Linked DNA regions of Coturnix japonica. The protein of the gene in region 1 purifies or fractionates together with the protein of each later gene. This does not show direct contact. Links are inferred from orthologs where the notes say so. Each region holds a gene or a part of one and is shown in the gene's direction. Other genes may lie near its edges. The genes, in order: FBXW11, FAM120A, HNRNPA2B1, EEF2K, HNRNPA3, KIF20A and RBX1.

What was found.
Region 2: the proteins of FBXW11 (region 1) and FAM120A purify together in Homo sapiens (affinity purification with mass spectrometry; 3 studies listed by BioGRID and IntAct, with this or other methods). This does not show direct contact. The link is inferred for Coturnix japonica from reciprocal best matches to the Homo sapiens genes FBXW11 and FAM120A.
Region 3: the proteins of FBXW11 (region 1) and HNRNPA2B1 purify together in Homo sapiens (affinity purification with mass spectrometry; 3 studies listed by BioGRID and IntAct, with this or other methods). This does not show direct contact. The link is inferred for Coturnix japonica from reciprocal best matches to the Homo sapiens genes FBXW11 and HNRNPA2B1.
Region 4: the proteins of FBXW11 (region 1) and EEF2K purify together in Homo sapiens (affinity purification with mass spectrometry; 7 studies listed by BioGRID and IntAct, with this or other methods). This does not show direct contact. The link is inferred for Coturnix japonica from reciprocal best matches to the Homo sapiens genes FBXW11 and EEF2K.
Region 5: the proteins of FBXW11 (region 1) and HNRNPA3 purify together in Homo sapiens (affinity purification with mass spectrometry; 3 studies listed by BioGRID and IntAct, with this or other methods). This does not show direct contact. The link is inferred for Coturnix japonica from reciprocal best matches to the Homo sapiens genes FBXW11 and HNRNPA3.
Region 6: the proteins of FBXW11 (region 1) and KIF20A purify together in Homo sapiens (affinity purification with mass spectrometry; 3 studies listed by BioGRID and IntAct, with this or other methods). This does not show direct contact. The link is inferred for Coturnix japonica from reciprocal best matches to the Homo sapiens genes FBXW11 and KIF20A.
Region 7: the proteins of FBXW11 (region 1) and RBX1 purify together in Homo sapiens (affinity purification with western blotting; 4 studies listed by BioGRID, with this or other methods). This does not show direct contact. The link is inferred for Coturnix japonica from reciprocal best matches to the Homo sapiens genes FBXW11 and RBX1.

Annotation. Positions count from the first base shown.
Region 1 is NC_029528.1:13,892,016-13,895,515, reverse strand, and holds part of FBXW11 (F-box/WD repeat-containing protein 11), read left to right. Parts: intron 1-213; coding exon 214-332; intron 333-766; coding exon 767-1,016; intron 1,017-2,166; coding exon 2,167-2,285; intron 2,286-2,840; coding exon 2,841-2,951; intron 2,952-3,267; coding exon 3,268-3,346; intron 3,347-3,500.
Region 2 is NC_029527.1:4,466,889-4,470,388, reverse strand, and holds part of FAM120A (constitutive coactivator of PPAR-gamma-like protein 1), read left to right. Parts: intron 1-1,058; coding exon 1,059-1,283; intron 1,284-3,500. UniProt on the Homo sapiens protein: Component of the oxidative stress-induced survival signaling. May regulate the activation of SRC family protein kinases. May act as a scaffolding protein enabling SRC family protein kinases to phosphorylate and activate PI3-kinase.
Region 3 is NC_029517.1:29,451,844-29,456,058, reverse strand, and holds the start of HNRNPA2B1 (heterogeneous nuclear ribonucleoproteins A2/B1), read left to right. Parts: upstream 1-1,415; 5' UTR 1,416-1,578; coding exon 1,579-1,608; intron 1,609-1,814; exon of another isoform or gene 1,815-2,035; intron 2,036-2,298; exon of another isoform or gene 2,299-2,675; coding exon of another isoform or gene 2,676-2,687; intron 2,688-4,174; coding exon 4,175-4,215. UniProt on the Homo sapiens protein: Heterogeneous nuclear ribonucleoprotein (hnRNP) that associates with nascent pre-mRNAs, packaging them into hnRNP particles.
Region 4 is NC_029529.1:8,304,339-8,308,318, forward strand, and holds the start of EEF2K (eukaryotic elongation factor 2 kinase), read left to right. Parts: upstream 1-1,180; 5' UTR 1,181-1,345; coding exon 1,346-1,355; intron 1,356-1,542; exon of another isoform or gene 1,543-1,671; intron 1,672-3,980. Other genes in the region: putative short-chain dehydrogenase/reductase family 42E member 2, read left to right, coding at 1-33. UniProt on the Homo sapiens protein: Threonine kinase that regulates protein synthesis by controlling the rate of peptide chain elongation.
Region 5 is NC_029522.1:14,084,638-14,088,137, reverse strand, and holds part of HNRNPA3 (heterogeneous nuclear ribonucleoprotein A3), read left to right. Parts: intron 1-639; coding exon 640-765; intron 766-861; coding exon 862-914; 3' UTR 915-933; intron 934-1,019; exon of another isoform or gene 1,020-3,412; intron 3,413-3,500. UniProt on the Homo sapiens protein: Plays a role in cytoplasmic trafficking of RNA. Binds to the cis-acting response element, A2RE. May be involved in pre-mRNA splicing.
Region 6 is NC_029528.1:11,874,609-11,877,460, reverse strand, and holds part of KIF20A (kinesin-like protein KIF20A), read left to right. Parts: intron 1-227; coding exon 228-428; intron 429-643; coding exon 644-755; intron 756-869; coding exon 870-941; intron 942-1,066; coding exon 1,067-1,210; intron 1,211-1,296; coding exon 1,297-1,462; intron 1,463-1,703; coding exon 1,704-1,862; intron 1,863-2,539; coding exon 2,540-2,679; intron 2,680-2,776; coding exon 2,777-2,852. UniProt on the Homo sapiens protein: Mitotic kinesin required for chromosome passenger complex (CPC)-mediated cytokinesis. Following phosphorylation by PLK1, involved in recruitment of PLK1 to the central spindle. Interacts with guanosine triphosphate (GTP)-bound forms of RAB6A and RAB6B.
Region 7 is NC_029516.1:45,482,598-45,486,643, reverse strand, and holds the start of RBX1 (E3 ubiquitin-protein ligase RBX1), read left to right. Parts: upstream 1-1,246; 5' UTR 1,247-1,261; coding exon 1,262-1,390; intron 1,391-2,191; coding exon 2,192-2,270; intron 2,271-4,046. UniProt on the Homo sapiens protein: E3 ubiquitin ligase component of multiple cullin-RING-based E3 ubiquitin-protein ligase (CRLs) complexes which mediate the ubiquitination and subsequent proteasomal degradation of target proteins, including proteins involved in cell cycle progression, signal transduction, transcription and transcription-coupled nucleotide excision repair.

The DNA of each region.
Region 1 (3,500 bases):
CTTGGTTGTTTTGCTGTAATGCCAAAAGCTTCCATCAAGGAGACTCCCCAAGTTAGAAGAGAGGACAAAAGTTGCTGTCTGGACATGCAGCCAAGGGTTCTTGCTGCTGTGTCCAGGTTTCTTCATTTCCTCTAAGTAGCAGCAGTATTCAAGTTTTTTGAACCCGTGTTCTTGGCAAGATGTTTATAGATTTTATTTTTATTTTTTTGACAGATTTGGGACAAAACAAGCTTGGAGTGTTTGAAAGTATTAACAGGACATACTGGCTCAGTTCTTTGTCTGCAGTATGATGAAAGGGTCATTGTAACTGGATCTTCAGATTCTACAGTGAGGTGAGTGTTAAGTTTTGGGGCAAAAAAAAAAACCTAAAAAAAAGTGAAATTGGGGTTGGGAATATTTGTAATAATCTTCAAATATCAGAAAACATCCCTCGTGTGAGTGTGATACCACTATTCCAAAAATAAGGTGTTTGCACGTGGGAAAGCATCATGTTCAGTCATTTTTTCCCCAGTCTGTCTCATGCTTTGTGGTGTTAAGCATTGTGAAGGAATGTGACCCGTATCATTCAAAGCACAACATGAAGTAGAATGGCTGATGCATCAAATACATGGTGAATACCTCATTTAGGTTTCTTACATCACCTTCTGACATACTTTAGTTATGACCTATAATGAAAGGAGGTTTTGTATGTGGAGCAACAAACACAAGACTTCAAATATGCATAATGTAGTTCCTTCATTTGGGATAAAATTCTTTTCTTTTGCAGGGTTTGGGATGTAAATACAGGTGAAGTTCTGAACACGTTGATTCACCACAATGAAGCAGTGCTTCATTTGAGGTTCAGTAATGGCTTAATGGTGACATGCTCAAAGGACAGATCCATTGCTGTCTGGGATATGGCATCACCTACTGACATCACCCTGCGCCGTGTCTTGGTTGGCCATCGTGCTGCTGTTAACGTGGTAGACTTCGATGACAAGTATATTGTGTCAGCATCAGGTGACAGGACCATTAAAGTAAGTTGGCTGAACTCTCCTGTGGGTCTGAATGCCTACTAAGCCAGAAAAGCTTCTGAAAGTTACAATTCAAATTGGAGTAGCCAAGGTTTTTGTAAACAGTTCTGTGCCTTTCTCCTTAGCATTCAGCTGGCTGCTTCCTCCTACTAGTTGTTAATGTCTTCTTGCTCATAACAAGTCTTGTAACGTTTTTGTTGTAACTGTTGTACAGCTCCAAAAAAGTAAAGCCTACTCTAATCTCAAGTTGGATTTGTTTGTTAAATGTGGCACATTTTGTGCCTTTTTCCAAACGTCAGTTTTTTTATTTCAATTGGCAGTCCTGTTCCAGACATGAAATTTATCAGCAGTTGCTTTTCCATTCCACACCTTCCCAGCTAAACCAGACTTTGCTGTGTTTAAAGAATTAAAATGCTGTATTTTGAAAAATTTACATACCAGAAAATTTGAGTTACCCAAAGTGTATCAATATAACAAAAGCGTTTCCACCCTTCCTTCTCTACCACCAGAGCTACCCTGGAATGTGCCAAAAAGCTCTTGGCAGTTCCATGTCTGAATATCTGCCAAGAAACCCACTGCACTTCTTTTGGAAAAGGAGCTACTTTACATGAGCCCTTTATGTTACAACTTCAATAACAGTTCATTAAAAAATGAACAAATTTCATCAAAAACATTAAAAGAAGAAGCAGCCACAGGCTTTAATAGGCCGTGGCTTTGGTCTTCTCTTAGAAGCAGATTGCTAGCAGTTAATTTGGTAAAAAAATACAGCTTATTTTTGCATATGAGGTAACATCCTCTCTTTTAAAGGATTACTAACTTACCAAGATTTAAGTGTCATCAGCCTTTCAAGGTCGTTTGGACCAGTATCACCTGCTACTTGAAAATATTTTACGTATGCCCTCTACTTCCAACCTCCCAGTCTTTCTCATTGACACTATGTACAATAGCAGAGCTGATGTCTCTTGTCATTGCTAGGCTCTGTAATGCCATCCTCCACTTACACCACGTGCCTCCTCTTTACCTGCAAAAACACTATGGAAGATTTCATTCTGCTGTCCAGCAGAAGTCAGCCTCAGGCTTCTGCTTATGAGTTTGTAACAGCTTCTGTTGGAAGTCAGAAACCTTTATTGAGCATGATTCTCATGTTTCGTAGGTCTGGAGTACAAGTACGTGCGAGTTTGTTCGTACGCTAAATGGGCACAAGCGTGGCATCGCATGCCTGCAGTACAGGGATCGACTGGTTGTCAGTGGATCTTCTGACAATACCATTAGGTGGGTGCCAGCAGGCTGTCAGTATGTATCTATGTACATTTACACATGATAACTCATGCAAACCATTTTCAGTATATCTTGCCATTGAAGCAGATGCTGTTCAACTAGTTAATATGTCACATCCATGTGAAAAAGTGAGACTGTGAGGTTCAGATGGAGGGAAACAAAACCCTCTATTCCTGTAGTTTATGACCTTGTTTTCTACTTGAGAGATGGAGACATTGGTCACTGGTTTTCATGCTTTCTGAACCTTTAGTAATTACTGATTTATGCAGGACAGAAAAGTATGTTAAGGTTTCTTAAAATAATCTAGCAAGTGTACAACCTTTACTTAATGTAATTTTGAATGTCTAGATTAGTTTTTATGTACTGCAGCTGCAATGCAGTTTTCTCTGAATTGCATACAAGGAAAATCTAGTTCTACCAGCTGCTCTTTTTTGCAAATTGTGGTATTTTCTGCAGGAACCCATTCAGTAGTATGCTGAAATCACTGTGTGTAAGGTAAAGGGATAGCCTTGAACCTGAAATGCTCAGGCTTTCTTCTGTTCTTTTAAGGTTATGGGACATTGAATGTGGTGCCTGTTTAAGGGTATTAGAAGGCCATGAAGAACTGGTCCGATGCATCAGGTTCGACAATAAGAGGATTGTTAGTGGAGCCTATGATGGGTATGTTTCTAAGAGCTATTTCAAAAGGTTCCAAACTGACTTGTGTATACAAATGTAGTTAGTTGGTCTTGAGTATAAACAACCCACTTGGGCCATCACAAAGACATCACTGTATTTGCTGCTTAAAAGAAATACAAAACTGCCCGTGTTTTATGGGATTCAGCTTTAGTAAATTAGTGAAGATAAATTATAACATTTTGCTCGATGCTGATAAATCAGCTGGAGGGAAGATCTGGAATATTCTGTCCATTGCTTTTAGAAGTTTCTGTGCTTACACTTGAAACAATGCTTTTAACCTTCTTATCTTTCTTTATAGCAAAATTAAAGTTTGGGACTTGCAAGCTGCTCTTGACCCCCGTGCCCCAGCAAGTACATTATGCTTGCGTACGTTAGTGGTATGTATAATTAATTAATTAATTTGAGGATTTGAGCAGTGTGTCCTAGGTGAAGCCATGATGTGTACAAAAACTGGGTTAGCAGCAGTGTTGAATGTGAAATGTTATGTAAGATGGAACCCCTGGTGTGGACCGTTATTGCCAGCCAGTCTTT
Region 2 (3,500 bases), on another chromosome or scaffold:
ATAACTCCATGGGACTAGCTACAATGTATTGCTATTTAATTAAGTGAAGGTGGGATGATTAAACCATTATTAAAGACTTAACATTATCTGATTTATTTATTTTCTTCCAGATACAAAATCATTGTCAAATGAAAAGCGTGATGATCTGTTTCATGACTTTGAGCTGTTCTTAGAATGTTGTGATCATTTGCATGCAGTACTTGTGCATTTTTGTGATGGAGCTGTGCTCCAGCCATTGCTTTTGTTTCAAAAACAATTAAATAAATCAAAGCAAAGAAGAAAACAATCCTAAATAACTTGTGCTGTGGAAGAACAAAGCATTTTCCCTGTACCTTTCGTATAGAAATTCCAGTAAATTTTGGCTTCGTGCTTAAAATATCAAGCTGATGATTTCATCCATCGGTGCTTATTATTTTTGCAGACTACGCCCCGCACGATAACTGTATCTGCCTGTGGATTAGTCACCATATGCAAATGCTAATGTGACCTATTGCATTCCTTTCTTGTCTGTGCCATGGCCATGCACAGAGCCCGGCACACCCAGGCTGCAGCCCTATGTGCACAGTGCTGCCCTGCAGAGCAGATATGGGGGCGGCTGGCAGGGCACTGCTCCCCCAGCTGGGTGATGGCCGGGTGGGACGTGCTGCAGGGCACAGCTGCCTGCCTCTTTGTACATGCAGAATTAGGGCTGTGTAAGCAGTGATTCAACTTTCCCGGAGATGTATGCATGCAGTCCGACTTGAGTGCAACCAATTTAATTTGTTTTACTTACATGCTTTTCTTGAATATCAAACCACTTCTTCAGCCCTCAGTAGCAGAAGGCAGTTCCATCTCTTGAGTACACACTACAATGCATTCTGTACCACAAGCTTTAACCATTTATTCTATATACTATCACTTTCCTAAATTGAAAGTCTGGTCTACCAACTCCAAAATATAGTCTTATAGTAACGTCCTCTTTTATTGTGTGCTTAAATGTACTCTTAAAATACTATTTCCCCATTGGCTGATCTTCTGTATGCATTAAAAAGCGCTTGATGTTGTGTGTTCTGTTATAGGCAGAAGGTTCCTCTAGTGCTTCTTCAGGAAGTCAGGCAGCCGATGTCAAAGGGAATCAAACCAGTAATCCACAGATCCCATGCCTGTTGTCAATGCCCACCAGAAACCACATGGATATTACTACCCCTCCATTACCTCCAGTAGCACCTGAAGTATTAAGAGTGGCAGAACACAGGCACAAGAAGGGGTTAATGTATCCCTACATCTTTCATGTCCTAACCAAGGTATGACATTTTAAAACTATGTGCTATAAAATAACCTTTTGGTAAAGATAATTGCACTTATGTATCTGGCTAAATAATTTTGTACTTTTACATCCTGTTTTAAGTTTTGAGTTTTGGTCTGATTTTAGTGTTTCTAGCACTTTTTTCACTTGATTTTTAACCACTGATCTGGGCTGACATATTGTTGCTGTAGGTATGAGGTGACTGTTACTACTGTTTATTTTAAAAAGACAAACAAACCAACTTCTTTTGACTTTAGTATTTTATTTTGATACTTTTACATACCCATGTTTGTGCGTGTGTGTATGTATTAATTGCCCATTTCTAGAGTGTGACATGTGCTTTGGTGTTTCAGTATTAAACAGTAATTAGATTGTTTTCCCTCATAATATAATCCTTCCTGTCCTTAGTAGCCAACCCCAATAAAGACACAGCATCTGTGATAAATCCCTTTTGTTGAATCATAAAATGCAATTGTAGAACTTGATGATGCTATGAGTTCTTTGGTCACTGATTTATTTTATGTACAATTCTTGAGATCCCAGGTAAGCTGCAAGCACTTCCACACAGCTTAGGCCGCTTTCTCTGCAGTATGTTGGGTTTGGGGGGGGTGGGAAGAAGAAAAAAGTCTTAAATCCGTGGCCACATAGGAACATCTTGAAAAGCAATGGGACAGCTTCTTGCCAAAGTAAGTAGTGGAAGGAATCACAGCAGTGGAGCAGCTGTGTTCTGCACAGCCCTGTGTTTGACTTACTTGAGTTCCAAAAGAGATGAGTTCTCCTCATTGTTCCTTCTGAGTGCAAACAGAAGAGTCCCAGAAGAAAACAATGAATCCTCTTCCACTGTAGTGTTCGAAGCATTTAGTACCGGTTCCTGTACGTCTGGCCCATTCACTGTACATACTTGTACAGCAGAAGGGCACTGTCCACACTGCTGGTCATTTGCATTAGTCTTAAAAAATCCATTTCAGGCCAATAAGGACAGTAGACTGGAATTTGAAATGCACAGAAGGAAAGGTTTGGGTTTCCTTCTATTGCTGTCATGTTCTTGTACTTCCCATGTTTATCAAAGAAAAGTGCAACAAGGGAACTGTGAAGACCATTGCAGCTCTGTTTCAGAGTTTGTATAGCCGTAAACTCTTAGTACATTTAAATACTGCTGGACGTTTCCTGTCTCAAAATGAGAAGAAACTAATTAAACACCTGAATGTTGGGAATTTTCTCCTAGCAGAAAAAAGAAATGAATCTAGAGACTGTCACAATATAAATCAAATGAATCAGTACTGCTTTTTGGTTTTATTCATCTACTACCTGAAATGTTTTTTAATATTTCACTGGCGGACCTCAAGTGTGCCAGAAAAAATGTTGACAGGTTCCTCCTTGAACGGTTTTGAGATGCTTTAGAAATTGGCACACAAAGATGTTCTGTGTTATGCTGTTGTTAAACATATAGAGAAACTTTTCACACATCCTTTATAGCTAACTTAGTGTTGTCTGTATACAAGATAAACTCTTTTTTGTAGTAATTCAACCATATATCTAATAGTGCAGATAAAATAGAGATCTTTATGTAACCTAAAGTGATACAAAAAGGTCGAAGCATGCTAGTAACTTCTGTGTAAATATACACCTACAGCTGTTTACAGCTTCCACCAGTTTATGCATTTTATCTGGCTTATGTTGATTATAAAGGCTTTTGAGCATACAGAGTGCTGTAGTGCTTCCCTGTATCTCATCCCTTTACTGGAGAGTTTATTTGGGAATATCATCAATGTAAGAACAACACTAAAGGAAGCCACATTGATGGTGAAAAGGATGAGGTTTGTTCTTAAGAGAAGTTTCTTGTTGAGGTCACTGATGCCAGAAAAAAAGAGAATGTTGAGTAAGCTTTTAAAGGTATTGATTCTTGACACCTTTACCAATAGGAATGAGTAGTTTTCCAAGAAAAACTGAGCATAGTTGGATGCACATATACTGAAAATACAGAACATTGCTGCTATTTTAAGAGAGCTGGAAGGTCTTTTCATGTTTTGTTTCTGAAAAAGAAAGCATAAAATGCTTTACCCGCATCTAAAGCAACATTACTTACACAATCCCCAGTTGCAGTTGTTTGGCCAGGCCTTCTCTTAATGTTATTTTTCACACTGAATCCCCCCCCAGTACTGTTTCAGATCCTTGCACCAAACCTTCCAACTGGTGTTTTTAGGCAGCGTGAATA
Region 3 (4,215 bases), on another chromosome or scaffold:
AATGCATGACAATTAAAAGGAAGTTGACGTTACTCAAAGAAAGGCATCCCAATACAACATGGTCCTTGTTCCAACCCCCATGTATTCACGGCATAGAACATTTACAGGATGGATTAAATCCAGGACAAGAAGCAGCTTACTGCTTTGTCCGGCATAACCCAGTAACACACCTTTACCTAGTCGGGATATATAGTAACGAAGTGGTAGATGGGGGGGAAAAAAGGTTTTTCCAAGGCCTTCTAAGGCACGGAGACGTTTGTAGGGAAAAGGGGGAGGACCATCAGGGATGCTTATTTCCTTCAACCCAACAGAACAGGAGCTCAGATTCCAGCAGTTAACTCAAATATAGCTTTAGACGTGTTAACTGTGGATCCGGCGGGGAGCAGCTCCACGTCTGGAGTGTAACAGAGCACCCACCGCTTTCCAAACTGCGAATATTTCTTTTAATACACAACGCTGCCCTCCGATTCTCAAGTTTGAACGAATTAAAGGCCCTGCACCGACGTGAGCTCGGCTAAGCTGCACACGCTACGTTTAACCTAAGCAAGCGAGTCCAACACCATCCATCCCCTTCACCACCACACCTCTCACACCGACCACCTCTTTAAGCACGTTATCATCCCTGCCCCGTTCCAACTACAAAACTTCGGATCGCACACAGGCCCGAGCACGGCACAGCACACGGCCCTGCAGGGCCCGAGGGCTCAGCCCCCCGCTAGGGGGGGGGGTGGGGGGAGCGCGGCGGAAAGGGCCGAGCGGGAGAGCTCCTCGCGTCCCCATCGGAAAGAGAAAGGGGAAAGAAACCACAAGAACGATCCCGATACCCCCCACCCCCAACCCATAAGGAACGGAGCCCCGCGGGCCGCCGGGAGGGAAGGAGGAAAGGAGGGAGGGAAGGAGGAGGAAGGGGGGGCATCGCCTCGCCATGCCCGCCACCCCCCGCCCCGCCACGTTTCCCCGCCGCGGAGGCCGCTCCGGGCGCTGGCGGGCGGCTTTGTCTGCCCGGCCCGGCCCCGCCGCCCACCCGCCCTCCCTCCTCCCTTCCTCCTCCCTTCCTTCCTTCCTTCCCGCGGGGCCCTCCCGCCATGCCCACTCCTCCCGCGGCCGCCGCGCTATAGGGGTTGGTGGTGGTGGGGGGGGGGGGGGAAAATCGGCCGCACCCCGCGCTCCATCCCCGCGGATGTCGGCGGGGAGTAAACGTGGGAGCGGGGAGTGCCGCCGAGACGAGGAAAGAAGGGGAAAAAGAAGGATACAGACTTCAGTGCCGCTCGGCCGCGCCGCTCCCCCGTCTCCTCCCGGCTCTCGCCCTGCGCGCTCTGAGCGGCGGCGGCAGCGGCGGCATCCGAGGGGCTGAGGGGGGAGGGGAGGGGGCGGGGAGCGGCGCGGGGCGGGACGGGCGGTGCGGGGCGGGTTGGGCCGAGCTGAGCGCGCCGGCGGCTGACGGGGCAGAGCGAACGACGCCGCCTACGCGCCAGCCGCAACCTCCTCCCGTCGTCGCCGCCAGCACAGGAGGGGGCCAAGACGTCTGTCCCACGGGGGGCGAGCGCAGGACCGCGCCAGGCGTCCAAAAGGAGGAAGATGCCTCGCGGAGACAGAGAAAGCGACTGGGTGAGGGAGGCCGGCGGGACGCGGGAGGCAGCCGCCATCATGGCCGCCACCGCCAGGGAGGGAAGGAGGGAGAGGGCCCGGGGAAAGGCCTTTATTGGCGGTTAATGGAGAGCAGAGCGGGGCTGCAGGGGGACAGAAAGCGGGAGCCCCGGTGCCGTGTCGCTGCTGCAGGGCGGCAGCACCCAGCAGCACTCGGCAGCACTCACCCTTTCTCGCCGCGTGTGAGAGGAAAGGGGAGGGCGGGAGGGAGGCGAGCGCTGCGTGGCTGCCGGCGGAACGAGGCCGGGCCCAGCGCTGTCCGCCGGGCACAGCTCCAGGTCAGCGCTGCCTCCCGCCTGGGCCGAGGGTGGAGGGGGAGCAGCTGCGTTGTGTTGTACCGCGCTCCCGCCCGCCGAGGGTGGTGGGGTGCGGGGCCGCTGCGGCTAATTATAACCCCGCACTACGGGCTGCAGCGATCGGCAATTTCCGGAGAGAGGGAAAAAAAAAGAAGGAGCGCTGTGCCAGCGACGCTCGGGCCGCTTCGGGTCTGCTCGGGCCTTTTCGGATCTGTTCGGGCACCTATGAGAGAGCCCTTCCGCTGTCGGAAATTGCCGAGTGGGTTGGGGGAGTCGGTGAGCTCTGCGTCTTTTTTTTCCGGAAATTGCCGAACTTGAGCCGATCGCCTGTTTCGTCGGTGTCGGCTGATTCCGGAAATCGCCGAAGCGAGCCGAACGGGCTGGCGTTCCTCTTTCGGCTGTTTCCGGCGGCTGGCGAAGCGGATAAGCTCGGGCGAGGACGAGTCGTTCGGCTCATTTCGGAGACGGCCATTAGTAACGGCGTCGATGAGTTTTTATTAGGTGCCAAAAACAGAGGGGTATCGCACGGAGCCGCAGCCCCTCGGGACCGATTTAGGCTCTAAAATCCGAGCTATTTTTTTAATTAAAGCCCGGAGGTGCGGCCGGGTAGAGCAGGAGGAGGAGGAGGAGGAGGAGGGCGCTCGTAGTGCGCGGAGCTGAATTTCAAATTACGTAAGAGCTGCGGCAGCCATTGCTGAGGGCCGAGCGCTGCGCCGGGCAGGGGCTGCCACCATGAAGAACATGGTACGTGCGGGGAGCGCTGCGGAGCTCGGTTTATAAGGGTGTAGTGCTCTCTGTGTTCTCGTAGGTTGTGTTTTTGTGGAGCTGAGGGTTACCAGAGCTGCTGCGGCTGTTGGGCCGCTGTGCGCGGGGGAGGGAGGGAGGGAGGGCAGCGGCGGGGGAGGAAGGTTCTGGAAGCGGTGCTCGGTGCTGGGTTGTTGAGGGGCGGCGGGTGCTGCTGTTCAAGCAGGGGCGGGTTGTGTCTCTCTAGGTGGCTCTGAGTTGGGTTGTTCTCTAGGCACAACGATGGAGAGCGGTGGGAGCGCGGCCCGGGGCGCGCCGTTGCCGGTAATGGCGGCAGGAGGGGGAGGGGGAAAATGGCGGCGCCGAGAGCGGCGGGGGAGGGAGGAGCGGGAGCGGGGGAGGGAGGGAGGCTGCAAACCGATCCGTGCGTGTGGCGGAGCGGCAGCTGGATCCTGCGCTGCGCTCAGGGCTCGCCCGGCGCTGCTGGGCGCTCGGCGGGGATCGCTTTCCCGCCCTGCAGGCGGCGGCTCCGGGCGCCATTTTGCTCCCTGGCTGCGGGGCTGCTCTGCTGAGAGCCGCCACATGGCGGAGCCTCCCCGCTCTGTCCATGGGCGGCGGGGCGGGCTGAAGGAGGAGCAGCGCCGTGCTGGGCTTCCCGCCTGGCTCCTGGTTGAAGATCCTGGGGAGCTGCTAAGATGGGCTGCGTTGCTTTTTCTTCTGGTTTCTGTATTGAGAGCCAGGATTGCGTTTTCGTCAAATATCAATAAGGACTGTAGTTAAAGTAGTTTATGATGGTGCACGTTGTAACTGCAGTGTAATGCAGTTAACACAGGTAGCTGGGCCCTGGCCGGGGTTGTGGTTAGAGACGTGCAACTAACGCGTGTAAGGCAGTGCCTGCTTTTGGAGCCCGTGGGGCAGCATTTAGGATATTGTATGGTGTTCTTCATTCGTGTAGTGATAGGGACATATTGCCATATCCTGGCCTGTGCGTATGCCTAACTTTTGCTTTGGCCAGGGCACATACAGGTCTGGCAGTATATGGTTGATGAGTGATGTGTGAACTTGAAGCTGTTCTGTTTATCTGCGACGTCTGGTACATGTTTGCTCTTTAAAAGCAAATGCAGTTATTATGGATAGCCTGGCTTCCAACATGGAGCTTTATTCAAGTCTTGAATGCAACATCCTTTCCCCTATTCTGTTCAAAAGATTCTATGAAGTGAAGCTTTATAGAATAAGGGTTTGTATTTTTTCCCATCTGTACAATGATGCATTTACTACTAATCCTTGTGCTGCTGGATCCGAGATAATTTTGACAGATATTCCAGGGTATATCCCCATGTACTTCACAATAAATGATATCTGTTATAGAATCAGATAGTATGAATGGATTCTTGTTCCTTGGTGTGAGGATGCTTTGTTTGGAGCTCTGTTCTTTTTCAAATGCAGTCATAAAAAGTTTTATATTAACCTACTCTTCTCTGTGATAGAGGGAAAAGGAGCAGTTGAGAAAGCTGTTCATTGGAGGTCT
Region 4 (3,980 bases), on another chromosome or scaffold:
GTTTTGCACTTTTTTAAGGAGACACAGCACTGACTCGCACAGACTGTGTGCACCCTCTGCACAACTGCTCCACGGAACATCCCCAGCTCCGCAACGCTGAGAGGCTCCAGTGCAACACATTTAGTTTAAATTAAATACAGAATAAACGTAAACAGCACCAACACTGTAAGTAATTACAGCCAAAGTCCGTCACCGAGACACGTTTCAGTCACACATCTTTCCAAACTGACCGCCGAACTGACCGAGGAGCTGCAAAGGGAGCACAGGGCACAGCCCGCAGTGTTATCGATGGACGAAAGCGGGGCAGGGAGTCAGGGCAGCAGCTCGGGGCTGCGGGGAGCTGAGGGACAGCGGGGGAAGCACGAGGACCGACCGCTCACGGCTGTGAATCACACCTGGGGGCTGCACAGAGCTCAGGTGGTGTGAATTTCCTTTGTGAACTGCTCGTGTCGCTGCGTATGAAGGAAAATAAAAGGGAACGTGTAGCTCCGTGCGGTGCCTCCCGACCGCCATCCCTGCCCCGGGGCGCGGGGGGGGAGCAGCCGGGAGAGCAGCGGGAGTGGGCGGGAGGGAGGCGGGGCGGAGCGGGGGCCGCAGCCGGCGGGGCGGGCGGACGCGTGTGTGTCCCCGGCTGCGTCCCGCGGTTACAGGGCGGCGGTGCGGGGCGCGGTGCCGGGCGGTGCCATCAGCTGGGGGAGCCGGGAGCTGCCGGCCGCGAAAAGGAGCCGCTGCCGCGGCGGGACAAAACTTGTTGGCAGCGGTGGGATTCGAACCCACGCCCCCGAAGAGACTGGAGCCTAAATCCAGCGCCTTAGACCACTCGGCCACGCTACCGCCTGGTGGTTGTGCGGCCCGCGAGGCCCCTTTCAGCGGGCGGAGCCGCTCTGCTGCCCGCGGATCGCGGCTCTTCCCGCCGTTCCGTGCTCGGACGCGGCACCGTGTGTCCGCTCCGCTCCTGCCGTTGGGCAGCGCTGCAGGCTGGGTGTCCCCGCCCTCCGTCGCAGCGGGTCGGTGCTGCCGAACGCTCCGCCTCGTCCCGGCCCCGCGCACCGTGAGGTGGCGCCCGCTGCCCGGCGGCTGCACGCGGCGCTGGGCCCGGCCCGAGCTGGGACACGGCAGCTGTTGGGACGCAATGCTGCGCCTCAGTGCGGGGGGAACCGAGCGGAGATGGGTGTTGTGTGGGCCGGAACCTCACCGTAATCTTAATACATGTTTTTATTAACCCAGCATCTACTGACATTAATTCCCATCTAACACATACAAGGAAAAGGAGTTGGTTCAATGTTTTCACAGCTGCTGCCTCGAGGAAGAAGCTGAGCTGCGGCCGTGCTTCACGAATGGAGCAATGAGCGGCTGTGAGTGTTTGCATTGGAACCCGGTGCACGTTGTCGTGTTTCTTACGGGGAACCGAGCGCAGCGCGGATCGTTCGTTCCCTGCGGGCCGGGCAGCGCCGCCGCCTCCAGCCTGAGATCGGGGCGCGCTGTGTCACACACACACCAACAACCCGCGGGCAGCTCCTCCCTGTACAACCCTCAGGGCGCCACGGGGCGGCTCGGTCAGCGCGGGGGGCGGGATCCAACGCAGCCCTGCCCCGCTCTGCCCGGCCCTGCCCCGCTCCACAGGCGGCTCCGGGCGCGGCCGGGTCGGTCCGTTGAGGCTCCGCGGTCCCGGTAAGTGCTTCGTGTGGCGGGGCCGTCAGGGCGGGAGCTGTGGGGAGCGGCGGCCATTCGGAACGGCGGCCATTCCGCCGGGAATCCCTGAACGCGGCGCGGTTGTTTCCTCGGGGTTGTTCAGCCCAGAACGTGGAGCCCAATGAAACAGCAGCGGTTCGTGGCAGCGGAAGGGCGTTCGTGAGTCCCATGGCGAGCAACTGCTCTGCCCGTCCCCGCGGGCTCCTTGGCTGGCGCTGCCTCCTTGGGGCGCTCAGATCGACCGGCTGAACCCGTTTGTCATCGGTGGGAAGGAGGGAATGGCTGCGGGCTGCTGGGCGCTTGCCCGATGCAGCCCGTGCCGTGCTGCCCAATGCAGCCCGTGCTGTGCTGCCCGATGCAGCCTGTGCTGTGCTGCCCGATGCAGCCTGTGCTGTGCTGCCCGATGCAGCCCGTGCCGTGCTGCCCAATGCAGCCCGTGCTGTGCTCGCCGCGATGCAGCCTGTGCTGTTGCTGCCCGATGCAGCCTTGTCTGCTTGCCCATGCAGCCTGTGCTGTCTGCCGATGCAGCCTGTGCTGGTGCTGCCCGATGCGCCCGTGCTGTGCTGGCCCGATTGCCAGCCCGTGCTGTGCTGCCCGATGCAGCCTGTGCTGTGCTGCCCGATGCAGCCTGTGCTGTGCTGCCCGATGCCCTCCCGCTGTCTGCAGCCCTCAGGTCTTTGGGCTGAGTTACAGCACGTCCATGAGCTGCTGGGGTGTCACTCAGGGATTGTGCTGTACCAGCTGCTCCATCACAGCAGCTGCCCTGCAGAACTAAGCAGTGTTTTGGCAGCGCTCTGATGTGAATTTTCCCCTCTGGTTGTACACGTGCACTGTGTTTGATCACATCAAGTGTTGTCCTTGCTGCTCACCTCCCGGTGCTGGTGCTGTGACTCTTGGTTGTAATGGTGAGAGAAAGGAAAAAATAATTGAGACAAACGTTGGAAAAAGCCTGAAATTAGTAGGGATGTGATTGGATTTAATAACTGTTTGTATTTGACGTTTTCTTCTTTAATTATGTAGCACAAGGCTGATTTTTATAGGAAAAGTGGGTCGTTGTGCTCTTCTTTGCTGCTTATCCCGAGGAAAGCTCCTGCCGTGGACACCAGAGGCTGAACAACAGGAGCACAGCAGCAGTAACAGCTGCTGCGTGGTTTGGATTTGTGCTGTAATGCAGCAGTGCAGGGTGTAAGCCTTGGAATGGAGCTCAGGCTTTTTTGTAAGGCTTCTTTGCCCTGTGCTTGGAAGCAGCTGGCATTAGTCTGGCTGTTCATGTTGTCCTTAGTATCTCAACATAGCCCTGTGGATAAATGCCTGGTAGGATGAGTGGAATTGAGCAGGAGTGAAGGCACTTGTATTGAGGACACCTAGAGCCTGGGGTGAAGGGAAGCAGTGCAAAGCCTGGGCATCGTATGCCCTGGGAAGCAGATTTCCTGTACCAGCACGTGAGTGTGGCTGCCTGGCAGCGTGTGCTGCAGGTGATGGATGGAATTGAGCCCTTCCACACAAGGTTCTGTGCTGCAGAACTGCAGCTGCTGGGCACAGCGCTGTGCTGAGATGGCTGGGGTGGAACCTGAGCGCCAGGAAAAAACACCCTTATGATTCACCACACCTTCTTTGCATTACGTGCCTGTTGCACCAGTGGAGCTGTAGATCCCGAGTGCTCCCACTGAGCAATGGCAGTAATGTGGAAGGGCTGTGTGGGAAGGTGCTGCAGGGCGGCTCCTCTGGTTCTGTTGTGGAACTGCCTGTGGTCTCTAACGCTGCTTCATATGTCAGAAGGCCTTATCAAAATATACCAAGAATGTCACCTCCTGGACTTAGTGCTCTGCTGTTGTTGCATATATGATTCTATTTTTTTATCTTTTAAACTTTCATTTTGCTTAGTTCACTTTGGCCCCAGGGGTAACCAAACCTTCCCTGTTCTGTTCCCCTGCAGTCCAGGGAGTTACTAAAAAGCTGAGGTTTCTGAGCTGTCTCTTTTTGTTAAGCACAAGCTCCAGGACAGCATTTTTTCATTGAACCTCCATGTGATGGAAATAGCCCAGCTGTAATTCTAGCTGCTGCCTGACCTGCACGAGGCAGAGGATGAACTTTAGGACCATGGCGCTGGCTGCAGCCCTGTGCCCAGCTCCAATGGTGAAAGGCTCTATTCTCCCCACAGCGTTTTTGGAAGTGTGCTTCAACTCTTCTGCTTCACTGACTGCAGTTATCTGGATTGTTAAAATAATGCAAATCAAACCATCTTCTGCTCCACTGACTGCAGTTATCTGGGCTGTTAAAATAATGCA
Region 5 (3,500 bases), on another chromosome or scaffold:
CCTTTTGAAATAACCAGGAACCACATTACTACATGGCTGTTTTACAGCATTAGCAAGGGTAAACCCTTGATGGCGTGGAAGGCATTAAATGAAAGTCTAGATGTGTCCTGTTATCAGTTCAGCCGTATTCTTACTCTGTGTTGCCAGCATTGATATCTTTGCAGGAGCTTTGAAATGATATGATTAATTTCTGAATCTATGATCACTTCAGTAGAGGCCTTTAATGATGTGTTTCTTGTCAGGATGTACCACAAACACTAAAACATGCTAGGTTCTTTAGTAGAATTTTGGGGGGAAGAAGCAGTAAGAACATGCAAGGACCCAGTGTGAGTTTAGGAGGTTAAGCAGCAAAATCTACTGCACGCTTACCAATACCTTCTGGTGTATCTATGTGCTCATTACAGTTTTATCACTTGTTACAGCAAATAAAAATTGCTTTTGGCTTGTAGTTTATGTCACGTACAGAGCACTGAATAGTGGAAGAATGATGGTGAAAGCAGAGTTTTTTTTGAGTTGGGAGGCATTAACTTTGGCCTTCCATGTTAATTTCAAATTGCTACTTTACAAGTAGCTTTACTTTACTTTTTGCTAGTTTACACCGAATGTCTCAGTTTCACGAACTTTGTGAATTTATTTCAGGTAATTACGGTGGCAGTGGAAACTACAATGACTTTGGTAACTACAGTGGACAGCAGCAGTCCAATTATGGTCCCATGAAGGGTGGTGGCAGCTTTGGTGGTAGAAGTTCAGGCAGTCCCTACGGTGGTAAATATATTTCTGTACCAAAAAAAAACCCCTTTGTTTACATTTCCTTGGTATCACTTATGTTTCAATATGCGCTGGGTTTTGTTTTTTGTGCAGGTGGTTATGGATCTGGAAGTGGAAGTGGGGGCTATGGTGGTAGAAGATTCTAAAAATGCTACCAGAAAAAGGGTAAGTGTAATGAATATTTATAATGATGATGAATAATGTACAACTGTTCACTGAGAGTAATAATTTTCTTATCCTGTATTCAACAGGCTACAGTTCTTAGCAGGAGAGAGAGCGAGGAGTTGTCAGGAAAGCTGCAGGTTACTTTGAGACAGTCGTCCCAAATGCATTAGAGGAACTGTAAAATCTGCCACAGAAGGAGCGATGATCCATAGTCAGAAAAGTTACTGCAGCTTAAACAGGAAACCCTTCTTGTTCAGGACTGTCATAGCCACAGTTTGCAAAAAGTGCAGCTATTGATTAATGCAATGTAGTGTCGATTAGATGTACATTCCTGAGGTCTTTATCTGTTGTAGCTTTGTCTTTCTTTTTTCTTTTTATTTTCCCATTACATCAGGTATATTGCCCTGTAAATTGTGGTAGTGGTACCAGGAATAAACAAATTAAGGAATTTTTAACTTTTCAATATTTGTGTAGTTCAGTTCTTCCACATTTGGTACAGAGAACTCTATAACAGAAATAAAATGTAGTTTAGGGTGTTTCCTTGTTAGTAGAGAAGATTAATGCATTTCTCAATTACTATTTTGTATTAATTTAAAGTTAACAATAGAAACACCTATTGATTTGCAGTCTTAAGGGGTCTAGTCTCAGTGTATATATGTAACTGTCATTGATAAGAGTTACATAGGCATACAGAGGGAGAACATCTGTATGTTGCATTATAGTTTGTTTAGATGTATAACTAGGATTGAGTTACTCAAATTAGTGTTTGTGAATTATAGAACTAAGCTTTACCTTCAAATGAAAATTTCAAATTACTTTTTGGTTTGTGCATATTTTTTTAATTTGTAGTTCTGTATTAGTAGTAGCGCTTCAAGAAAATAAGGCATGATAAATATTTTAACAAGACCAACTTTAGTCACATTCAAGCTGTGTCCAGTCTCATCTGAGATGTATAAGGGATAACTGCAGTTGCTGAAGTTCTGGGTGAAGAGAAAAAGAAACTTGCTTTTTACCTTTTTATTTATTGTAATTCCCGAGAAGTTAAGGTGGGGTGGGAATCAAGTGCCTGTTTCCTTGGGATATACAATGATTCTGTTTCAATAAAACTATACTTTGGGGAGGGTGGCTTGGAATTTTCATCCCCTTCCTTTCTCCCCTTTCCCCTCTCCCTCACACCAGACTGTGCTGTTTCGATTAAATGAGGCATCATAGTGAGAGTAATAGGTATGTTCCTAAATAACTTAATGGCTATATACTTTCTTGCATGCACCCTAGGCAATTTTCTGGACACATTCATCTGACTGGGAGCCAAGGGTAGCACAGGTGTAATCACTGACAGTCCCAGGTAATGGCGTTCCAAAAGCCCATTCACGATGGGCTCTAAGTAGCATAGAGCTTTTTCCCTTACGAATATCTAAGCTCAGGTAAGAGCTTGAGGATGAAACAAAACACAATCTAGTTATATTTTACCTGACCACAGGAGGTAGAATGATAGTATTTTACAGTTTGATTTGATGCACTGGAGTAGCAAATCTTATCAGCACATCTGGCTAGAAATTGTACTCAATTCTCATTTCTGAACTCCAAATTAAGGCACTACAATCTCTGCTTTTCTCAGCTGATGTCACTTCTCTCTCAACTATTGCCAGGACAGTGCTTTCTGACAATTGAGACTCAGAAGAGTAGGGACACAGTCAATAGAAGAAATGTTCAGACACTTGACAATATGTGATATTGGAAATTACACCTGTTTCACTTCTGGGTCAATGTGCAGTATAAGGTAAATGCGATTCCAGTGTAGGAATGAATCTGCAAAGATGTATGAAATGGCTCAAGGCATAATCAGTCATATTAATAATATAATTTTAAGAAGTTATTAGCAAAATGAGTGTGTTGCTTGGAAAAAAAAAATAATTAAACAATGTTATTTGAACACTGTTATTGAGTGTATTTAGACTGCAGTACACTAAAACAAGGAATCACTGTCAAAGATGTTAGCCTCCAAACTGGATATCAAAGTCTGCTTATTCTTTTCTGTGGAGTTTTAAACTATCTCTAACTTAAAAGCAAGAATTGCTGATGCAGTGAACATTTTGTTGTTGTACGTAATTTGGGCTTGTGGGGAGGGTGGGTGGGGGAAGGTTGTATTTCAATAAAGGCATTTTTTTAACCAACCCACTTGGAGTTTGAAAACACATTAACAACTAAAACATCTCACTAGGGAGTGAGCCACCCAACTGCTGACTTGCTTTGTACGTTGCTACACCTAGAAGTCGTGTAGATTTGTAACTGGGGCCTGCATCTGGTTGCAGGGACAACTGGAGAATGGGGTTGATGTCCCTTCTGAAAATGGATATGGTATTTCTAAAAGTTTTAGAATGTATTGACAGTGTTCTTTTTAACAGGGCCTCTTGTAGCTGTACTGTGACAACAATGTTAACTTTGAAAAATAGTGTCATAATAAACTTTATGAACAAGATCTGTATGCAACCTTTTAAGAGATGAAGTGTGTAAGTGACCGCTTTGTAGGTGGGTGGGGTAGCTTAGCTGTTGTTTGTGATGTGGAA
Region 6 (2,852 bases), about 2.0 Mb from region 1:
CTTCTTGAGATCAAGTATATAGGCAGTCCTTGCATGTAAAGATGCTGTCACAGGGAATTTAATACTGTATAATTGGACAAAGGTAGTTGCGTATGTCCAAATAGCAGGAGGTATTTAGAATAGCTTTGAGTCTGGGGTGGTGTTACTACATTTCAGTCTATTCCTGAACTACTCGGGTCTGACCTTTGAAAGACTGCAGCCATGATTTATTTTCTTTTCTTCCCCAGAATCGGGCCCTCGCTGGGCTGACCTGGATCGTATTTCACTCAGCACCACGGCAGATGTGCAGTTCTCCATCTGGGTCTCTTTCTTTGAGATTTACAATGAGTTAATCTATGACTTGTTAGAACCAGCCCTCCCTGGTCAGAACCGCAAGAGGCAGACACTGCGGCTCTGTGAAGACCAGACTGGCAACCCCTACGTGAAAGGTATTTACCTGAAAGATGTTTATAGTGGGCCTCTAGGTGGATCTCACCTGAGGGAGACTTAAGGATGGAGTGGGTGGCTTAGCAGTGATATGCTGGGGAGCACAATGTCCTCTGGCCCTTCAGATGCCTGGATAAAGAGGATGTGAAGCTTATTAATGTTAGGGAAACGCTACGATCTCCTAACTGCCATGCCCAATGCATGCCTGCTTTTCCAGATCTGAACTGGATCAATGTCCGTGATGCTGATGAAGCCTGGAGGCTCCTGAAACTGGGTCGGAAGAACCAGAGTTTTGCCAGCACCCACATGAATCAGAACTCCAGTCGCAGGTCTGGAGTGGGAGGGGACATTTCTTAGATATAAAGTTCTGAGAATCTTTTCAATATTACGTCTCTTTTTTTTTTTTTCTCCCCTTTTTAAATGCCTGTGTGCTTCTTTTACAGTCACAGTATCTTCTCCATTCGGATTCTACATTTGCAAGGAGGTGGCAGTGAGATTGTTCCCAAAATCAGCGAGTGAGTTTCATGCTTTCTAGGATTTGTGGGTATTCTGTGGACTTTTTTAAACTGTTGCTGTGGATCTGGGAAGTATCTTAAGGAAGGTCTTGTGGGTCAGGTGATAGCATCTCTGTTTTTTTCAGGCTATCTCTGTGTGACCTTGCGGGATCAGAGCGCTGCAAAGACCAGATAAGTGGGGACCGAATGAAGGAAGCAAACAACATCAATACTTCACTCCATACTTTGGGTCGCTGCATCACTGCCCTCCGTCAGAAACAGCAATCCAAGTGAGTATCTGGAACTTCAGAGGGGGGAAGTTGTAGGGAAGGCTGTCTTGCTTTTCCCATGGGCTCACTGTCGTCTCTTCCCATAGGGTGAAGCAGATTGTGGTTCCTTTCCGGGACAGCAAGCTAACCCGTGTGTTCCAGGGTTTTTTTACTGGACGTGGGCGATCTTGTATGATTGTCAACATTAATCAATGTGCATCTACATATGATGAAACTCTGTATGTAGCCAAGTTCTCAGCCATTGCCAGTCAGGTATGTAACACTTAGTAATGTTGTGATGTGCTCAGGGTGCTTCTTCCTATGGGAATGGGTCCCTTTCCCTCAGAATGCACGCACTCCTTCCCTGTGTTTTTGCAGTGTATTGTTAACTCCACAGTAATTCCAAACTCTGCTAAACTGAAAAGTTTGACAGCATGCTGTGAAGTGCCATGTTTAAAGGCTAAGTAGCCCTCCAGCCTTTGTGGACCAGTAATTATAGCCTTTTCCCTTTCAGCTTGTTCAGGCCCCTCCCATGAAGCTGGGACTTCCATCCATACAGTCAATTATCAAGGAGCACAGCAGGCGAACCAGCCAGGGTACAGAGGCTACAGAGATGGAAGAAGTGAAAACGGACAGTGAAGATGAAGCAGATGTCTCTGTTTATGAGAGAGAGGTGGGTTGTGATTTATTTTACAACTTTTACTGATAGAAAATCAAGAATATGTCTAACCGTTAACCTGGAAGGTGGGGCCTGGAACTCAGTGCAACGATGACAGAAAGCCTCAAAGATGTGATCTTAGAACACTGTAAAGTAGGGATCTTTGGAAGATATTCCATCCATAGCTGCTCAAAATCTGAAGCTTAAGAGTGCTTAAGAGCACTTGTCCATTTGTGGACCAAGGACAGTAAGAGCTCAGGTGCAGACCCATAATCTCTCCTCTATAAGGGAAATCTTGATTGGAGAATTACTAAATCAGTTGGCTAAACTGAGGAAAAATAATCAGATTTTCTGGATACTCCGAGTGGGAAGCTGGAATAGCTGGAAGATAAGAGGGGGGTGGAAGAAATACTGAGATTTGAGTTGTAACATATCAGGGTATTAAAGGCATGTGCAGCCTTGAGCAGTGCAGTATAGCAAGCTGCTTATGGTGATAGCTCCAGTTGGAGTGGTTTTTAAACCACCTCATGGGAAGGGAACTGGGAAGAAGCCTACCAGCTTATTTTTCCAAGTGACTAAAACCATCCTAAACCTAGATTACCCCAGTCTTACAGATCCAGGATCAGCTAGTTTGTTTTCTTTAGGTCGTAATTGTGCTGTGCAATGTGGGCAAGGGAGATTCTGTCTTCCAGGACTTGTTGCATGTAGTGGAAGCTGCGCGAGAACTGCTGGTGCAGGAGAGGCAGGAGAAGCTACAACTAGAAATACGTCTCCGTACAGAGATCTGCAATGAGATGCAGGAGAGAATGCAGCAGAAGGAGCAATGGTGGAGGTACAGCTGAGGCTGATTTAAAACCTGTGTTTAGGGTGTGCTATGGTATCAAAGGCTACCAGATCCAGATGCAGATAGTTGTTTGCTTTCCTTGTAGCCAACACATTGATGAACAGAAGGAAATGCTGGAGGAACTGTATGAGGATAAACTGAATAACCTGAAGGAGTCACTG
Region 7 (4,046 bases), on another chromosome or scaffold:
CAGCTTGAGGTGCAATACCATGAGAAAGAAAGAGCAGCAATTAGTCACCATCCCATGAAATGCTGCAACTCGTTCCTCTCTCTGAATCTCATCTGTTCATCTTAGTCAGATTATGGGGAGCGGGAGGCTTCATTTCTCACCTGAGGTTTTAGTAACAGATTGAAAAAACAATGGCACTACATGGGAATATAATGTGACCATCATCTAGAAAACACACAGAGGCAGAGGGATTGGGTTCATGCAGAAACCAACCATGATCTGGGCCAAAAAACTATGGGATATATTGCTTAATCTACCCCTCTGGCTCTGTTCTTAGAATTCAAATTTTCTCTGAGCACTCCAGATCAGCTGGGGATGCTACAGAGTATTGAAGTTCCATGATATTCATGAACTCTGAGAAGTTTTGTGGCAATGTGGAAAGACGGTAAATGAGGTACCATTTGTGATGCTGTCTGTCTGGACACTCACAACAGCAAAGGCAAACTTAGCCAAATCAATTACTTTTAGTGGCATCAGCAATGGAGGGCAGCCAGCCAGCCCTACAGTTCTTTAAGGAGTTATAAAATGCACTTCATTTTTATAACCTCTGTACAATAAAGTATTGCTCTAAAAAGTGTTTCGGAGCACATGAATTCCTGCTTTCTTTCAGAACATTTTCATTCCTGAGTGCATCCTGAGCGCCCCAGAGACATCCCACACCACTGGGGTAGCACTGAGGCTGATATGGTACAAAGGATATGCAGCTCAGCTCAGCCCACCTGAGGGGCTGGGAAGGGAGCAAGGGCTGAAGAGCAAGGCAACCTCCTCCCTTAAAAAGGCTCTGCCGGGGACGGAGGGGTGTGTGTGGGGGGGGGGGGGGGGGGGTAAGGGCAGGCCCTGGCGGAAGCCCCGCCTACACCTTCCGCTCACACCTCCCTGCGGCCCCTTCCGCCGCGCATGCGCACAGAGCGGAACGGCCTATTCACGCATCCAAAATGGCGGCTGCGATGGATGTGGACACCCCCAGCGGCACCAACAGCGGCGCCGGCAAGAAGCGCTTCGAAGTGAAGAAAGTGAGACCTGCTGGCGTGGCGCGCTCTACCCGGCCGGTCCCAGCGGGAGGAGGGAGGTCGGGAGCGGCCAGGTGGCCGCGAGCGGGTCGGGGCGCTGAGCCGCTTTCCGCGCCCCCTCACGGAGCCGGGCGTTGCTTCCGCACCGGCACCGCCGTATGAGGGGAGGGGGGGGCGGTGCTTGCGGAGTCTATTGGCGTGTGTCGGGGCCAATGGGTGAGACGGGTCTCCGCGCGTGGAACGGAGGTTGGCCAATCAGAGGGCGCGACCACGCGGGGAGGAGGAGGGAGAGAGGCGAGGCGGGGCTAGTTCTGGCTGGGCCCCGCCGCCCAGAGCCGAGGGTAATGCCGGGCTTAGGGGCGAGTCGGTGCGCTGCTGTTGCCTCCTCAGTCCCGGCTGCTTTGGCTCAGTTGTCTTAGTGGCCCTACGTGATGTGAAGGGAGCTTTGCACGCATTTGTGTGGCTGCTTCTTTTTGTATTCTTCACAAATCAACTCGTAGGTGACCAACAAATGCTGTCTTGTCATCCCGGTTTGCTTTGCTTCCCCCAAACAACCATAATATCCCTCTTTGGCCTAACAACCATAATATCCCTCTTTGACCTACCCTCTCCAGTGTGGCTGCGAGCTGAATGGTGGTGAAAGATCCCAAGTTCACTTCAACGAGGCCCGGAGGTGGTTAGGAGCACTTTGTGGGAGCACTTTTGATATTGTATATTTTTTGCAATGAAAATGATTCAGGAGTCGCTGAGGGGCAAAGTTAGAGGTGATTCTGGTTGTTGGCCCCAGCTGCTCTGAGGGATGATTACTGGGAAAACAGCTACAAACAAGAGAAGTTCCAAACTGAGGATGTGGCGTGAGATGCATTCTTGCCTCCAGATTATGAATTGAAATGCAGATGTTTGCATTTGTATGGCAAAAAAAAGAGAGTGGGACTAGTATCAATTGTTTCTGAGACTGGAAGGAGGCACTGAGTGTGAGAGGTATCTGAGAAAGAATTACTCTGGTGCTGTAAGGTGTGTGTCTTTTAATATCCTAACCTTATCATTTCAGAAAGAAAGAGGATCTTGAGGAATAATGAGGATTTCCATGTGTTATATGTTGAATAAAATTTATGTTTCTCTTTTTTCCCCCCTCACTCTAGTGGAATGCAGTAGCTCTGTGGGCGTGGGACATTGTGGTTGATAACTGTGCCATCTGCAGAAACCATATTATGGATCTATGTAAGTAAATGATGGGGAAGCGTGCTTACAGTTTTGACATGTACAAGATTCACAGTTGAAATTTCCACTGCTCAGGGTGCATTTCAGCAAATCTGGTTTTCAGTTCAGAATGAAGTCTTTCGGTAACACTATAAACTCTGTTCTATGTAGTGCTCAAGTTCTGCTTTCTGTGTCTGACTGACCAGAAAAGATTCAGGCCACTGAATTTTTGACTCCTCATTCTGCCAAAGCTACTTTGCCTAAATTAGGGTTATAGTGTGGGGAATTCTGTGGCCAGCTAGAGAATCCGTTTGTTATCTATGAAGAGAATAATCTAATGCCTAAACCAACACCAAGCATTGCTAGTACTAATTCACCTTTTTTTTCCCCCCTGTATGGTCCCAACAGTCCTGTTAACAAATACACTTACTATTTAGGAAAACAAAGTGGTAGTAGGAGTAAGTATAAAAAATTCTACTGTGAAATAGGTATCCATATATAAAGTCACCGGCTTTGGTCTAATTGAGGATTGGCAATAAGAACAGAGCCATTTTTTTTTCCCCTCAAATCTTTGGCAATATATGGTTGGCACCGTAACTGTCCATGTTCTTTCAATGATAAGATACAGAACACCTTTTAACATCCCCCAGATAGGAAGTCACCTGTACTACTAAAATGGGAGGATTGTGGTACCTCAAAAAGCAAGACCTTCAGTACCTGACAAGGGCTAGTCATGATTTCTTTGTGGTCGCTTTGTTTCACTTTCTTCTTAGTAGCCCTTGCAAGTACAGCTGATGGTAACTTACTGTTAGTGAGCCAATGTGATAATATAAAAGAGCAGGGGAAAAGAAAAAGAGGCTGTGCAGTGTACCATGCAGGGCTGAAAGGGGATTAAGCAAGCTGACTTCTTTGCTTTGAGTCAGATGTGTTCTATTTTGAGCCAGCTGCTGCCTGTCCATCGCTCACTTTATTCTTGATCATTAGAAGAGGAATGGTAGCACTAAAGGCAAGCAGGTGAGAGGAGTGGTTGTGACATGTGCTGAGGACCTCTGACATAGTGCTTTACAGTTAAGAATTGAGGTTGGGTGGAATTGAAAGAATATAGACGTGTTAGGAAGAACTTCAAAGGAAGAGAGCACAGGTAACTTAGTTTTTGTTTTGTTTTGCTTTTTGAGTTGCTCAAGCATAACACCTTATTAGTTAGGGCATAATCAATGCTATCAAAAGCCCAAACTGCAAATGATGGACCAAAATTGACAGTATACAGAGTAGAAGCGGTATCTAAATTGGTGTTCTGAGTTCAGCCTTGGCTCTGGATTTACTTACTTCCTTGTTAACGATCATTAATGATGTTAAGCAACATCTTAATTAGATTTTCAAACCGAAGATGTGAAGTGATGGGAAATAGAGAAAAAATTACTAGATTGTGCAGGGAAGAACAACACAAGATTCAGTTTGATAAAGTGCAGGGCAGGAATGTCTCCCTCTCCCACTGATGAGGAGAAACCTTAAAAGGGAAAACATTACAATGGTGATAAGTAACACCAGCCACGCTAATGGAAGATTGTTAACATTATGAAGTCGAGCATCCAAAAGTTAGGATATAACAATGTTAAGGTTTCGTGCAGTCTTGCTAATGCACATACATTACGACTTGGCTGCTAATACTAAGGACAAAGGATTCCCCTGGCCCTCACTATGGCTCATGTTCGGCACATAGAAGGGATGAGTAGATTTTCAGTGGTTTTTGTTCATTTCTGAAAGGGCCCAGAATGTATTTAGATTTTCTTTGTGCAA